Arabidopsis thaliana: one gene and its partners. The protein of the gene in region 1 interacts with the protein of each later gene in a biochemical or structural test. Each region holds a gene or a part of one and is shown in the gene's direction. Other genes may lie near its edges. The genes, in order: CHIP, FTSH1 and PP2AA3.

Region 1 (3,752 bases):
AACCAAATTCGAATCATTAGTGAGGATCCAATCTTTGATTTGCAACTTATCCTGCAAGATATTTTCGAATATTTTTGAAAATATTAGATCCAACAACCCTAGCCTCCTTCATCACTATAAATATCAAAGTCATTCTCATCACAAACCAAATTGAGATCAAGAACGATTCGATGGTTATTATCATAATCAATTCATGATAGTGAATGATTGTTTGCATAAGTATTCATGACGAAGTGGATGTTCTTCGTTGATGTTGATGAGTTTTTACATGTTCCGGTGAAAGAGACGATTTCGTCTGTGATGGAATCTTTGGAGGAATATTTTCAGTTTACTATTGAACTGATGCCTATGAGTAGTCAGGTTTGTTATTCCGGTGATGGCCCGGCCAGAACTTACAGGTAACATTCATAACTTTGTTGATTTTAATGATTGAACGTTAACCAAAGCCCATGTGTTGTTTATTGAGTGACTTAGAATATTAGTCACAAGTTTTTTGAAGGTGACATATAATATCAATAAGCATCTGATTCTGTCAACACTTGGCCTGTAAAAGTCTTTGTGCATTCTGTATTAGTCTCCTATGTCGGTCACGATCTTTGCTTTTATTGAACATCACATGATATTAGTGAGAAATGTTGTAAAGATTATTTCTTTTGTTTGTACCAAATATTGAATTGTAATTGGTTTGTATATTTTCTGTTTTTAGGAGGGAACATATCGGTTATTGATTTGGTTTAGTTCAGGGACTAATCTAAATGGTATTTTGGTTTTGTGTTTCAGAAAATGGGGAATTGAGAAACTGGCATATAGAGACGTCAAGAAGGTTCCAAGACGGGATCGGAAATACGCGGTCCAGCCGGAGAATGTATTCGCGATAGGCGTACACATGTCTCAGAATCTACAAGGGAAGACATAGCACAAGGCTGAGAGCAAAATCCGTTACTTCCATTACCATGGTTCGATCTCTCAGCGCCGCGAGCACGCACTCCTTATGTGCTAGACACTACAATCCGTGATGTTGGCCTTGCTGTGAGAACGTTCGAGTTGAGAACGATTGGTGATCGGCTGCTACGGACAAGACAATGAAGAGATGAAAAACATGAATAGTGAATCTAATCAATCTTTAGAAAGAAGAATTAGGTGTTAAGATGATTTACTTTGCATTGTTTTCTTTTGGGGGTATATTCTTTTATTGTATCATATAATTTGGGTAATGGGATCATTAATACAGCTTCAAAATACTCTTTAGTATAAATATTCTGTATGATTTAGAAAAAAGGTCTCCTCATAAATGTTATTATCTTTGTTTTGCCAAAAATAAAAGATAAAACATACCAACTTTGGTTTTTAAAGATCTTATAATCAACAAAATAATTACACCATCTATCATTATATTATATTTTTGTCACCATTTTACTTATATCAAATACACATTTAGTAATTGATACACAACTTTAAACACAATAAAATACATGATTCTAATCAGTAAATAGTCTCCATACTAATAAAAGATTCCAATCATTATTTATACCAGTTTTAAAAAAACTAAATATATGTTACTATTTTTTAATATAACACACACTAATTTATTTAATAAAAAATTTATAAAAGCCTTCGCGCGACGGGAAACCGCGGGTTTAATCCTAGTTGTATAAATAATTTACAATTAACCCAATGACCGGTTTATGGTAGTAAACAAAAAGAATGACTATAAGATCCGGATTATGATCCAAGTCTCATCGAGCTGACCCGGTAAAGAGACTAATCTCTTTCGATAACCGATTCATTTAAAATTCCCTTTTGCTTACTTTTCTCTCTCCTTTCATCGAGAAATTTCGCGGCTACTTCTCTTCTGAAACGCACCGGGACGCGCCGTCGCACAAGTTACAGAGGAGTGTTGGAAAGGATAAAGACTTGGTTTTCTGGGGTGCCGTAGATATGGTTACAGGCGTGGCTTCCGCCATGGCGGAGCGGTTAAAGGAAGACGGAAACAATTGCTTTAAGAAAGAACGTTTTGGTGCTGCCATTGATGCTTATACCGAGGTACATGGTTCTCACTCTCCTTCTCTCAATTTCATCGTTAGGGTTTTGTGTTTTCCGAGATTTTGATTGAGATCTGCGTAGAGTAATAAACCCTTGATTATAATTTCGAAATTGGACAATTCGTTTGTGAATCAGAACTTAATTGCATCCAAATTAGGTTTTGATGGAGTGTACAATTCGAGAATAGACATTTGATGGAATTTATGAATCTTTTATGTGCTCATCGTTATAAGTCATCAAGAAACTTCAGGCTTATTCAATTGTAGTGGTTTTTCTTATCATTTTTTTTTTGTGTAATTGAGTAGGCAATAGCTTTGTCTCCAAATGTTCCTGCTTATTGGACCAATCGAGCACTTTGCCACATGAAGCGAAAGTGAGTATTGTTCTGTCAAGCAAATTTTATACATACTTCTGATTAGGCAATCCTAATGCCCAAATACTTTATGGTTCATGTTTGGCTTCTTTGCTTGCATCAAATTTAGGGATTGGACTAAGGTTGAAGAGGATTGTCGCAAAGCTATTCAGCTTGTCCACAATTCCGTCAAGGTTTGACTCTTTTGATTATATCTAAATGGAATTCTTTTGCTTGGTGTGCTATGTATGGAATATGTCAAGTTTTTTGTTTTGTTTTATCTTTTCTTGGCCTTCTTTGATCCTTTCTTCTCCATCATATGAGGATTTTACAATTATGTTCTGTGGCAGGCACACTACATGCTAGGACTTGCATTATTGCAGAAGAAAGAATTTACTAATGGAGTCAAAGAATTGCAAAGGGTAAGGATCTTTGTTAGTCCTAAGCTTTTTTCTGTAAAATTTATCAGTGGACATGATTGTTTAAGTCGTAACGTTGAGACCTAAGTAGTGTAGTTTCCAAGCATCTTAATGAAGATGTGAGGCACCACTTGAATCTCCATCTTTTTCCTTTTGAAAGATGTCTAAGTGGATACTGTGGACACTTGTTTTAGTTAGAAAAATCACTAGAGATGGGTTGGTTTGTTTATGCCATCAAATACTGCAAACAAATTTTGGTTTGATACCTGTTTCCTGTTAACTTCATGTAGCTACGTTTCATATAGGCTTTAGATCTTGGAAGATGCTCGAATCCAACAGGATATATGGTAGAAGAAATATGGGAAGAGCTTTCTAAAGCAAAATACATGGAGTGGGAACTGGTTTCTGCAATGCGGTCATGGGAACTGAATAGTTTGAAGTAGGTTCTGTAACTTTCTTAATCCAGTGCTATCATTCGACTTGGAACTGTGCTTTTGTGGCTTTATGGAACTATTCATGTTTGTGTTAGGGAAACTTGTGAGGCTGCTCTTAATCAACAACGTGCTTTAGATATGTCTCGAACAGAAGAGTCCTCAGACGAAGCATATACTGCCCATACTGAGCGTTTGAAAGCTCTTGAACGAGTGTTTAAGAAAGCTGCAGAAGAAGATAAACCAACTGAGGTGCATTAAATTTTCTTTAAAAGCTTTTAAGACCCATCGTTCATTTATATTTGAGGTCAAATACATTTCTGGTTTTTCTTTTCAGGTGCCAGATTATTTATGTTGCAATATAACTCTTGAGATTTTCCGAGATCCTGTAATTTCTCCAAGTGGGGTTACATATGAAAGAGCAGCAATCCTTGAACATCTCAAGAAGGTTTGCATTATCATCGCTCTTTTCTTGTAGCCTTAATCTCTATAAAAAATATTCCTCAT
Region 2 (3,752 bases), on another chromosome or scaffold:
AGAATAATAGGCGTTGAGTACGTATTCTGTGGATCTCTTTAATGATTGCTTGAGGAATGTTGCTTAATATTTATGTTACTGTCTGCATAGCCTTATTATTTAGTTATATGTCCAGGTTGATCTCAGATTTCTGCAAGATACGGTTCCTACAGACAGAATTGTGGTTTTGCGTGGTGGTTGGAGTTTGTTTGGAAAGGGATCTGCGGGTGAGATACTGCTACGGCTTACATACAAATCATATGTGGAGGAGGAAGAAGATGACAAGACCAATGTCAAAGCCATTGATACTTCTGACGATGAAATGTCTGATTCAGAAGAACTTGGCTCATTTGTGCGGAAGGGAAAGCTTTCGTCAGATGATATTGATCAAGAGTCATTTATGAACGTGTTGTCTGCATTGATTGTGAGTGAGGAGTTTCAAGGCATAGTTTCATCTGAAGCTAGAGACGGTATAATTGATGGTGGTGACTCACTTGGGGCACCAGTACCTTCTAAGCCAGATACTAGTAAGGGGTCTGAAAGAAACGCAGATGTATCAAATTTGGATTTGTTAGTTGCAAATTCTGGTAGAGGAGCTGGCGGTGATGGAGGTATACCGAGGCTCAATCTCTTACGATGATTTCCTTTCTATGCTTTCTTGACCTGAAACTGTAAAACCTCCTAATTTCAGGATTAGCATTACTGTGGTTCGGTATTATCACGGGTATATTGGTTCTTGTTGCTATCAACATGGAAGGCTCAAGTTTCTTCAACCCGTAGTATAGTACTATACATCTCGCTGGAGATTTCTGTTGCAAGTAAGTCTCTTAATATATACCTCGAGAACTTGAAATTTCTTCCCCTGATGTGATTGGACAGACAGATTCTCTTTTTGTCAGTTGTTTTCCTTATATTAGAACGTGGAACAACACTGGTTTGTTCATATAGTCAAGAACCAAACTTGAACTTCTTTTTTCCTAGAATAATTATGCTACTTGAAACATTAAAATTGTAGATTCTGTTACTCTTTCTGCTGCTTGTAGTGTACCGAAAGTCAAAACTGGACATCAGGCTTTGTATTTGATAAAATTATGTGTGAATTGAAAATGAGTCAGTTGATTCTTCTACCTTGTGTGACATAGTTCAGTCCAGATATTTTCATGTCAACCTTTTGCCTACCGTGTGTGATAAGCTTATCAAGGCCTCTTTATTTTGTGGCAGGTCTGGTGGTCATCTCTTCTCAACCTTAGATATGGCTTATAACGAGGTCTCAGTTTTGTAATTTAATTTTGTATGTAAATAGCCATTAGAAGAGGGACTCTTACTAAAGGCAGGAAGGTTTGGATCTATTCTGTCCAAGCTCTCACTGTTGTGTTACTCTTTACACTTGTGGTTGATATACAGTACATAAAAAAAGATAGAAACTTTTGTATATTTTGACCAAAAAAAAAAGAGAAAATTCTGACTTTTCGGAAATAAAATATAATCATCGATTGTTTCAATAGGATTGGTAGTAGGAGCAGAACTTGGTTCGTGGAACCATCCTTCATTTCCATTCCCTTATGGTAAGATTGTGGTATTTCATGATTCTCAAATAAAGTTTGACAAAGATAGACTGATCGAAAAGGTGGAGCCTCTTGTTAACATGGGACAGATTAGTTGTGTCGCCGCTGAATTCCATGATCTCACTGATGGCAGACTCAATAATGGTTATGGTATTGAATGAAGCTCTCACGTCCATGTTCTGTTGAGGCTTACAAGACTGTTCTAGTTGGTGGGGAAGTTGTCCGAACCGGAACATAATCCAAACCGAACTGAATTAAATTTTTAAAATTAAACCGAACTGTCCGACCACTACAAAGTTTTTTCGAATTTGCACATTAAATTAATTAATTTTTGTGGCATTTTGCGATCAGTTAACGAGTGGATATGAGGTAGCAAACGTAGAAAGGACTCGAGAAGTCATGGCTTCTGCTTAATCTCCTCTTCCTTAAAAACCAGAAGATCCTTTGTTCCACGTTTCTCGTTTGTAGCTTCTTCTCTCTCAGAATTCAATTCGAATTTTGACAAGTCTTGACGAAGAAGAAGAAACAGAGCTGCTTCAATGGCTTCTAACTCATTACTACGTTCTTCTTCAAATTTCTTCTTAGGATCCCATATCATAATCTCATCTCCCACCCCTAAAACCACCAGAAAACCCTCTTTCCCTTTCTCCTTCGTCTCCCGTGCTAAATACCAAATCACTCGATCGTCTCAAGACGAAAATTCGCCAAATGGTAAACCCAATTCGCCATTCTCGTCGCAAGTAGCCTTAGCAGCTATTCTACTATCTTCAATTTCATCTTCGCCGCTAGCTTTAGCTGTAGTGGACGAACCAGCTTCTCCGTCTGTCGTTATAGAATCTCAAGCTGTGAAGCCATCGACGCCATCGCCATTGTTCATTCAGAACGAGATACTTAAGGCTCCTAGTCCTAAATCATCGGATCTCCCAGAAGGATCACAGTGGCGATACAGCGAGTTTCTTAACGCTGTGAAGAAAGGGAAAGTCGAGAGAGTTAGATTCAGCAAAGATGGTTCTGTTGTTCAGCTTACTGCCGTCGACAATCGCCGTGCTTCAGTCATCGTCCCTAACGACCCTGACCTTATTGATATCTTGGCTATGAACGGAGTTGATATATCCGTCTCTGAAGGAGAATCCTCAGGCAATGACTTGTTCACTGTCATTGGAAACTTGATTTTCCCGCTTTTGGCCTTTGGTGGACTCTTCTTGCTTTTCAGGCGAGCTCAGGGAGGCCCTGGTGGTGGTCCTGGTGGCTTGGGTGGTCCTATGGATTTCGGACGTTCTAAATCCAAGTTCCAGGAAGTGCCTGAGACTGGTGTATCATTTGCAGATGTTGCTGGGGCTGATCAAGCTAAGTTGGAGTTACAGGAAGTTGTGGATTTCTTGAAGAATCCTGATAAGTACACAGCCTTGGGTGCTAAGATTCCTAAAGGGTGTTTGCTTGTTGGACCGCCTGGTACGGGTAAGACACTCCTGGCTAGGGCGGTGGCTGGGGAAGCTGGAGTGCCGTTCTTCTCTTGCGCGGCCTCGGAGTTCGTAGAGCTTTTTGTGGGTGTGGGTGCATCGAGAGTTAGGGATTTGTTCGAGAAGGCTAAGTCTAAAGCCCCTTGTATTGTATTCATTGATGAGATTGACGCTGTGGGTAGGCAGAGAGGAGCTGGGATGGGAGGAGGAAATGATGAGAGAGAACAGACTATTAATCAGCTGTTGACAGAGATGGATGGATTTTCTGGCAACTCTGGTGTGATAGTTTTGGCAGCTACGAATAGGCCGGACGTTCTTGATTCGGCTTTGTTGAGGCCTGGAAGGTTTGATCGACAGGTCACGGTGGATAGGCCTGATGTGGCTGGCAGAGTCAAGATTCTTCAGGTTCTTTTCATAGCTGTTTTATAAAGGTTACTGGTTTGTCTATGGAGTTATGTGAATGATTCTTATTTCTCTCTATGGGGTTTGGTTTTATTTTAGGTTCATTCTAGGGGGAAGGCACTCGGTAAAGATGTGGACTTTGACAAGGTTGCCAGAAGGACCCCTGGTTTCACGGGTGCTGACTTACAAAACCTGATGAATGAAGCGGCGATTCTTGCGGCTAGGCGTGAGCTTAAGGAAATAAGCAAGGATGAAATCTCTGATGCTCTTGAGAGGATCATTGCTGGACCTGAGAAGAAGAATGCAGTTGTCTCTGAAGAGAAGAAGAGACTTGTTGCATACCATG
Region 3 (3,752 bases), on another chromosome or scaffold:
TGTCCCAGTGATGTCATTCAGAGAAGACCCTGTGAAGCTATTGGAGAAGGATACTATTATCTACGATAGTGAAGAAGAAACCCAACCTAGTGTTGAGACTATTACTATTAGTAAGTCTAAAGATGAGCAAAATCGTATGGTTGGTTCGAATAGAGCGGATACAAGACATGTGGACCACATGGTTCGTTCAATTGAAGATCCTATTATGCGTAAAGCAGGTTTGAAGGGTCCAGTTTCAGTCAGGACAAGACAGGTTCGTGGATACTAAGTACAAATGTTATAAGTTTTTCAGGTGCATCTACGGTGTAATCACTCAGTTTTGTACTTTTCTATGTTCTTTTTGTGGTCAAAGATGTAAGATTATTGTGTTCTTTATGGATATAAGCTTTCAATGATGTTGTACAGTTGCATATGTGTGTGTTTATACAAGAAACGTTTCTAGAAAACTTTGAATCAAATTCGAAGAACTTACCTGAAAATTACTGTCCTCGAGGCCTCTTTTTACCATGTTGAATTAGGTCAGCATATGCCTGGAAACTTAGACCGACATCTTCATCGTATTCAATTCCAAGCTCCTCCTGCAAAGTAACAGTAGTCAAAAATTATGGCGAAGCTGATGTAGTCTGTAAGAAAAAACTCCTGAAGAAATATGAGTTTGCACCTTTAGTTCCTTCACATCTTTGGGAGAATTCTCTGTTACAGTATCCCAAATGTCTCTGAACATCCTCTTACGCTTGCGCCACTGATTAATCTTATCCGCATACATATCTTCAACAGCCTTTTTGTCTTCTGGCCTCACCAATGTAATCCCTTCACGTAGTTTGACCAGTTTCTCTTCCATTTCCTTAACCTGGTACACAGTTGAAATCACTTTATAAGCTATCAACAACCTTACTCAAAGAAAGACAAAAACCAAAAGGTAAGAAAAACATATACCTCTTTCCTTAGTTTGGCATCTTTCTCTTGTATCTCTTCTAGTGTCAAGTTTGACTGCAAACTCTTGATTTCTGCAAATAACATCACAGAACATAACATTATCCAAGCAGCTATATCACATCCTCAAAACCACTGAGAAAAAGTAGTTTTTTCACACCTGATTCCACATCACTGATAGTTTTCTTCTTCTCTTGAAGCTGTTCTTGAAGTTTGGCATTGTCTTCTTTCATTTGAGCAAGTTCTTCAGAGTTTGGAATCTCAAACTGGTCTTGTCTAGCAATGTATATCTTCTGCTTACCATACTCTTTAAACGTGATTTTTCCAGCATCAGCAAGACTATCAAGTGCCTTTTGCACCGCAGTCTTCTTAAGGTTAAACTTTTGTAGAGCATCAGCTGCATTTTGAGTGTTTAGAGGTTTGTTTTGCTGCATCAAAAAAGTACCAACAACACATTCATCAAAATCTAACAACAATAATACAACAGATTGAAACAAAACTTGCAATATATATATATATATATATATATATATATATATAACCTGTATCAATCAATTTTTAAAACCTAGTCAATATCAATAGCTTCAAACGAAAAATTCATGTGTAAACTTATAGCACAAATTGAAACCCAAGTGATTAAATTCCCAGATTCAGAATCATGTGAACATCACTGCGTACCTTAACCTAGACTCAATTTCAAATTCGAATTCTAATTTTTATGGTCGTATCTGTTTGTGATCTCCGTTTAGAATTAAAGCAAAAATGTAGAATCGCAGAGAAGTGCTTACCTCATTGACAAAGTTGAGTACGATAGCTGCAGAAATAAAAAATTCAGGAAACAAGTAAATAAGAGAGAAATCAAAATGAGGAATAAGATCAAAGAGAACTAGCAGATTTTTTTCAGAGATTATATCATTATACCTTCGGTGTTATCCGATTTAGGAGCCATTTTTGTCGAAATAATTGGCGGGAAATAAAAAACCTGAAGCGAGAGCAACTTTTTTCCTTTTCCGATATTTTCTGAGGAAGAAGAAGAGAGTTACTGAGAAGCTTCCTTTATACGAGAGAGATATTAAACGAAGTCGTATTTGTTGGATATATGGGCCTTTATGTATTATACATAAGCCCATTTAGTTCTTATCTTTGACAGGCCCAATTATATGGACACAGCTTGAAGATGGTTTAGCTGCTGCGAAAGACGAGCTCCGGTCTCATTTCTCGTTCTTCTGATTGATAGATCGCTCGGAACTTGGAAAGCAGCGTAATCGGTAAATTCTCGATCATTTCTTCAATTTCGAAACATTTTCCAATTGTATATTGAGAATCTCAAATCGAATTATTGTTTAGATCTTCTCTCTTTATTAGTCTAAGAATGGTAATAGTTTCTCTCTAGATTGGGACGGCACAAAGTTTCAGTTCTCCATTCTAATCATTTTTTAGAGGCTAATGGGTCACCTTTGAATTATCTCAGAGGCGGAATTGAGTTTAAAGTTTGTAACTTTATCGTCTTTTGTATTGATGGTGTCTATGTATGCATTGTGTTTTATTCTGACTTTGTGTACATTTGTGTTTGATTGAAGGTAGGGAGTGATTTGAGTTTTGGTGAGGATGTCTATGGTTGATGAGCCTTTATACCCGATTGCTGTGCTTATCGACGAGCTAAAAAACGATGATATTCAGCGTAGATTGAACTCTATTAAACGGCTTTCTATCATTGCTCGTGCTCTTGGAGAGGAGAGGACAAGAAAAGAGTTGATTCCATTTCTTAGTGAGAACAATGACGATGACGATGAGGTGCTTTTGGCTATGGCGGAAGAGTTGGGGGGTTTTATTCTGTATGTAGGAGGGGTTGAGTATGCATATGTTCTGCTTCCACCTTTGGAGACTCTATCCACTGTTGAGGAAACTTGCGTGAGGGAGAAAGCTGTGGATTCACTTTGTAGAATTGGTGCTCAGATGAGGGAGAGTGACTTGGTTGAGCATTTCACTCCTCTGGCTAAGGTTAGATAAGGCTGGTTTACTTATTTTATCAAATCTCTTTGGTCGATTTTATTGATTCCTTTCCATGCTCTGTCAAACTTAATATTATTAAGCCACTAAAACAGAAGAACATAGATTTTTTGGGGTCCTTTGTCAATTGTCCCCCAAAGTTTGGAAATATGCTTTTCTTGTTCAGTGTTCCCCTTATAGGTGTTTTGGGAAATTGGTAGGTTGAAGTTGTTTACATCCATTTTGGTTGATCTAAGAGAACATCGCTCTGGCTTTAGCGCTCTTTTGGGTTGTGGTTGTGTATGTGACCATACATACCTCGGTATAGGTGCTCGTAATGTGAAACCGACTTAAGCATTACTGAACACTGTCATTGTGTAACAGCGACTTTCAGCTGGTGAATGGTTCACAGCCAGAGTATCAGCATGTGGGATTTTCCATATTGCATACCCAAGTGCCCCAGATGTGCTAAAGACGGAGCTAAGATCAATATATGGTCAGCTTTGTCAAGATGACATGCCAATGGTGCGCAGAGCTGCAGCAACTAATTTGGGGAAGTTTGCTGCTACAATTGAATCAGCTCATTTGAAGACAGACATTATGTCCATGTTTGAGGATCTTACGCAAGATGGTATGCTCTCCCTTATTATATGTTTCGTTTTTCCAGCATATACTCTTACAATTTTCATCAAGCCTAGTTATGGGGGTGGCTGATGTGTAATAGGCAAGTATTAGGGTTACTGCATTGAACACTGACCATTAGCTGAAGTTAAGCAGAATTACGGTTGTCTACATCTCAGCTTCAGTGTCTTTTTATATTATAATATTAC

Evidence for each region.
Region 2: of the proteins of CHIP (region 1) and FTSH1, one has a biochemical effect on the other in vitro, tested with the Arabidopsis thaliana proteins (one study listed by BioGRID).
Region 3: of the proteins of CHIP (region 1) and PP2AA3, one has a biochemical effect on the other in vitro, tested with the Arabidopsis thaliana proteins (one study listed by BioGRID).

What each region holds. Positions count from the first base shown.
Region 1 is NC_003074.8:2,358,488-2,362,239, reverse strand, and holds the start of CHIP (carboxyl terminus of HSC70-interacting protein), read left to right. Parts: upstream 1-1,690; 5' UTR 1,691-1,938; coding exon 1,939-2,043; intron 2,044-2,348; coding exon 2,349-2,416; intron 2,417-2,525; coding exon 2,526-2,589; intron 2,590-2,745; coding exon 2,746-2,817; intron 2,818-3,119; coding exon 3,120-3,253; intron 3,254-3,343; coding exon 3,344-3,497; intron 3,498-3,582; coding exon 3,583-3,693; intron 3,694-3,752. Other genes in the region: AT3G07380 (glycosyltransferase family protein (DUF23)), read left to right, coding at 226-398, 781-916. UniProt on the Arabidopsis thaliana protein: Has E3 ubiquitin-protein ligase activity and may target misfolded substrates towards proteasomal degradation. Regulates the activity of some serine/threonine-protein phosphatases by E3 ubiquitin-protein ligase activity.
Region 2 is NC_003070.9:18,615,262-18,619,013, reverse strand, and holds the start of FTSH1 (FTSH protease 1), read left to right. Parts: upstream 1-1,858; 5' UTR 1,859-2,083; coding exon 2,084-3,409; intron 3,410-3,505; coding exon 3,506-3,752. Other genes in the region: NTMC2T5.1 (N-terminal-transmembrane-C2 domain type 5.1), read left to right, coding at 116-590, 671-759. UniProt on the Arabidopsis thaliana protein: Part of a complex that function as an ATP-dependent zinc metallopeptidase. Involved in the thylakoid formation and in the removal of damaged D1 in the photosystem II, preventing cell death under high-intensity light conditions.
Region 3 is NC_003070.9:4,566,138-4,569,889, reverse strand, and holds the start of PP2AA3 (protein phosphatase 2A subunit A3), read left to right. Parts: upstream 1-2,040; 5' UTR 2,041-2,201; intron 2,202-2,513; 5' UTR 2,514-2,541; coding exon 2,542-2,934; intron 2,935-3,143; exon of another isoform or gene 3,144-3,306; coding exon 3,307-3,553; intron 3,554-3,752. Other genes in the region: AT1G13340 (Regulator of Vps4 activity in the MVB pathway protein), read left to right, coding at 1-268; AHP2 (Tat-binding protein 1(Tbp-1)-interacting protein (TBPIP)), read right to left, coding at 480-578, 662-850, 937-1,007, 1,094-1,361, 1,722-1,747, 1,855-1,882. UniProt on the Arabidopsis thaliana protein: The A subunit of protein phosphatase 2A serves as a scaffolding molecule to coordinate the assembly of the catalytic subunit and a variable regulatory B subunit. Involved during developmental process such as seedling and floral developments.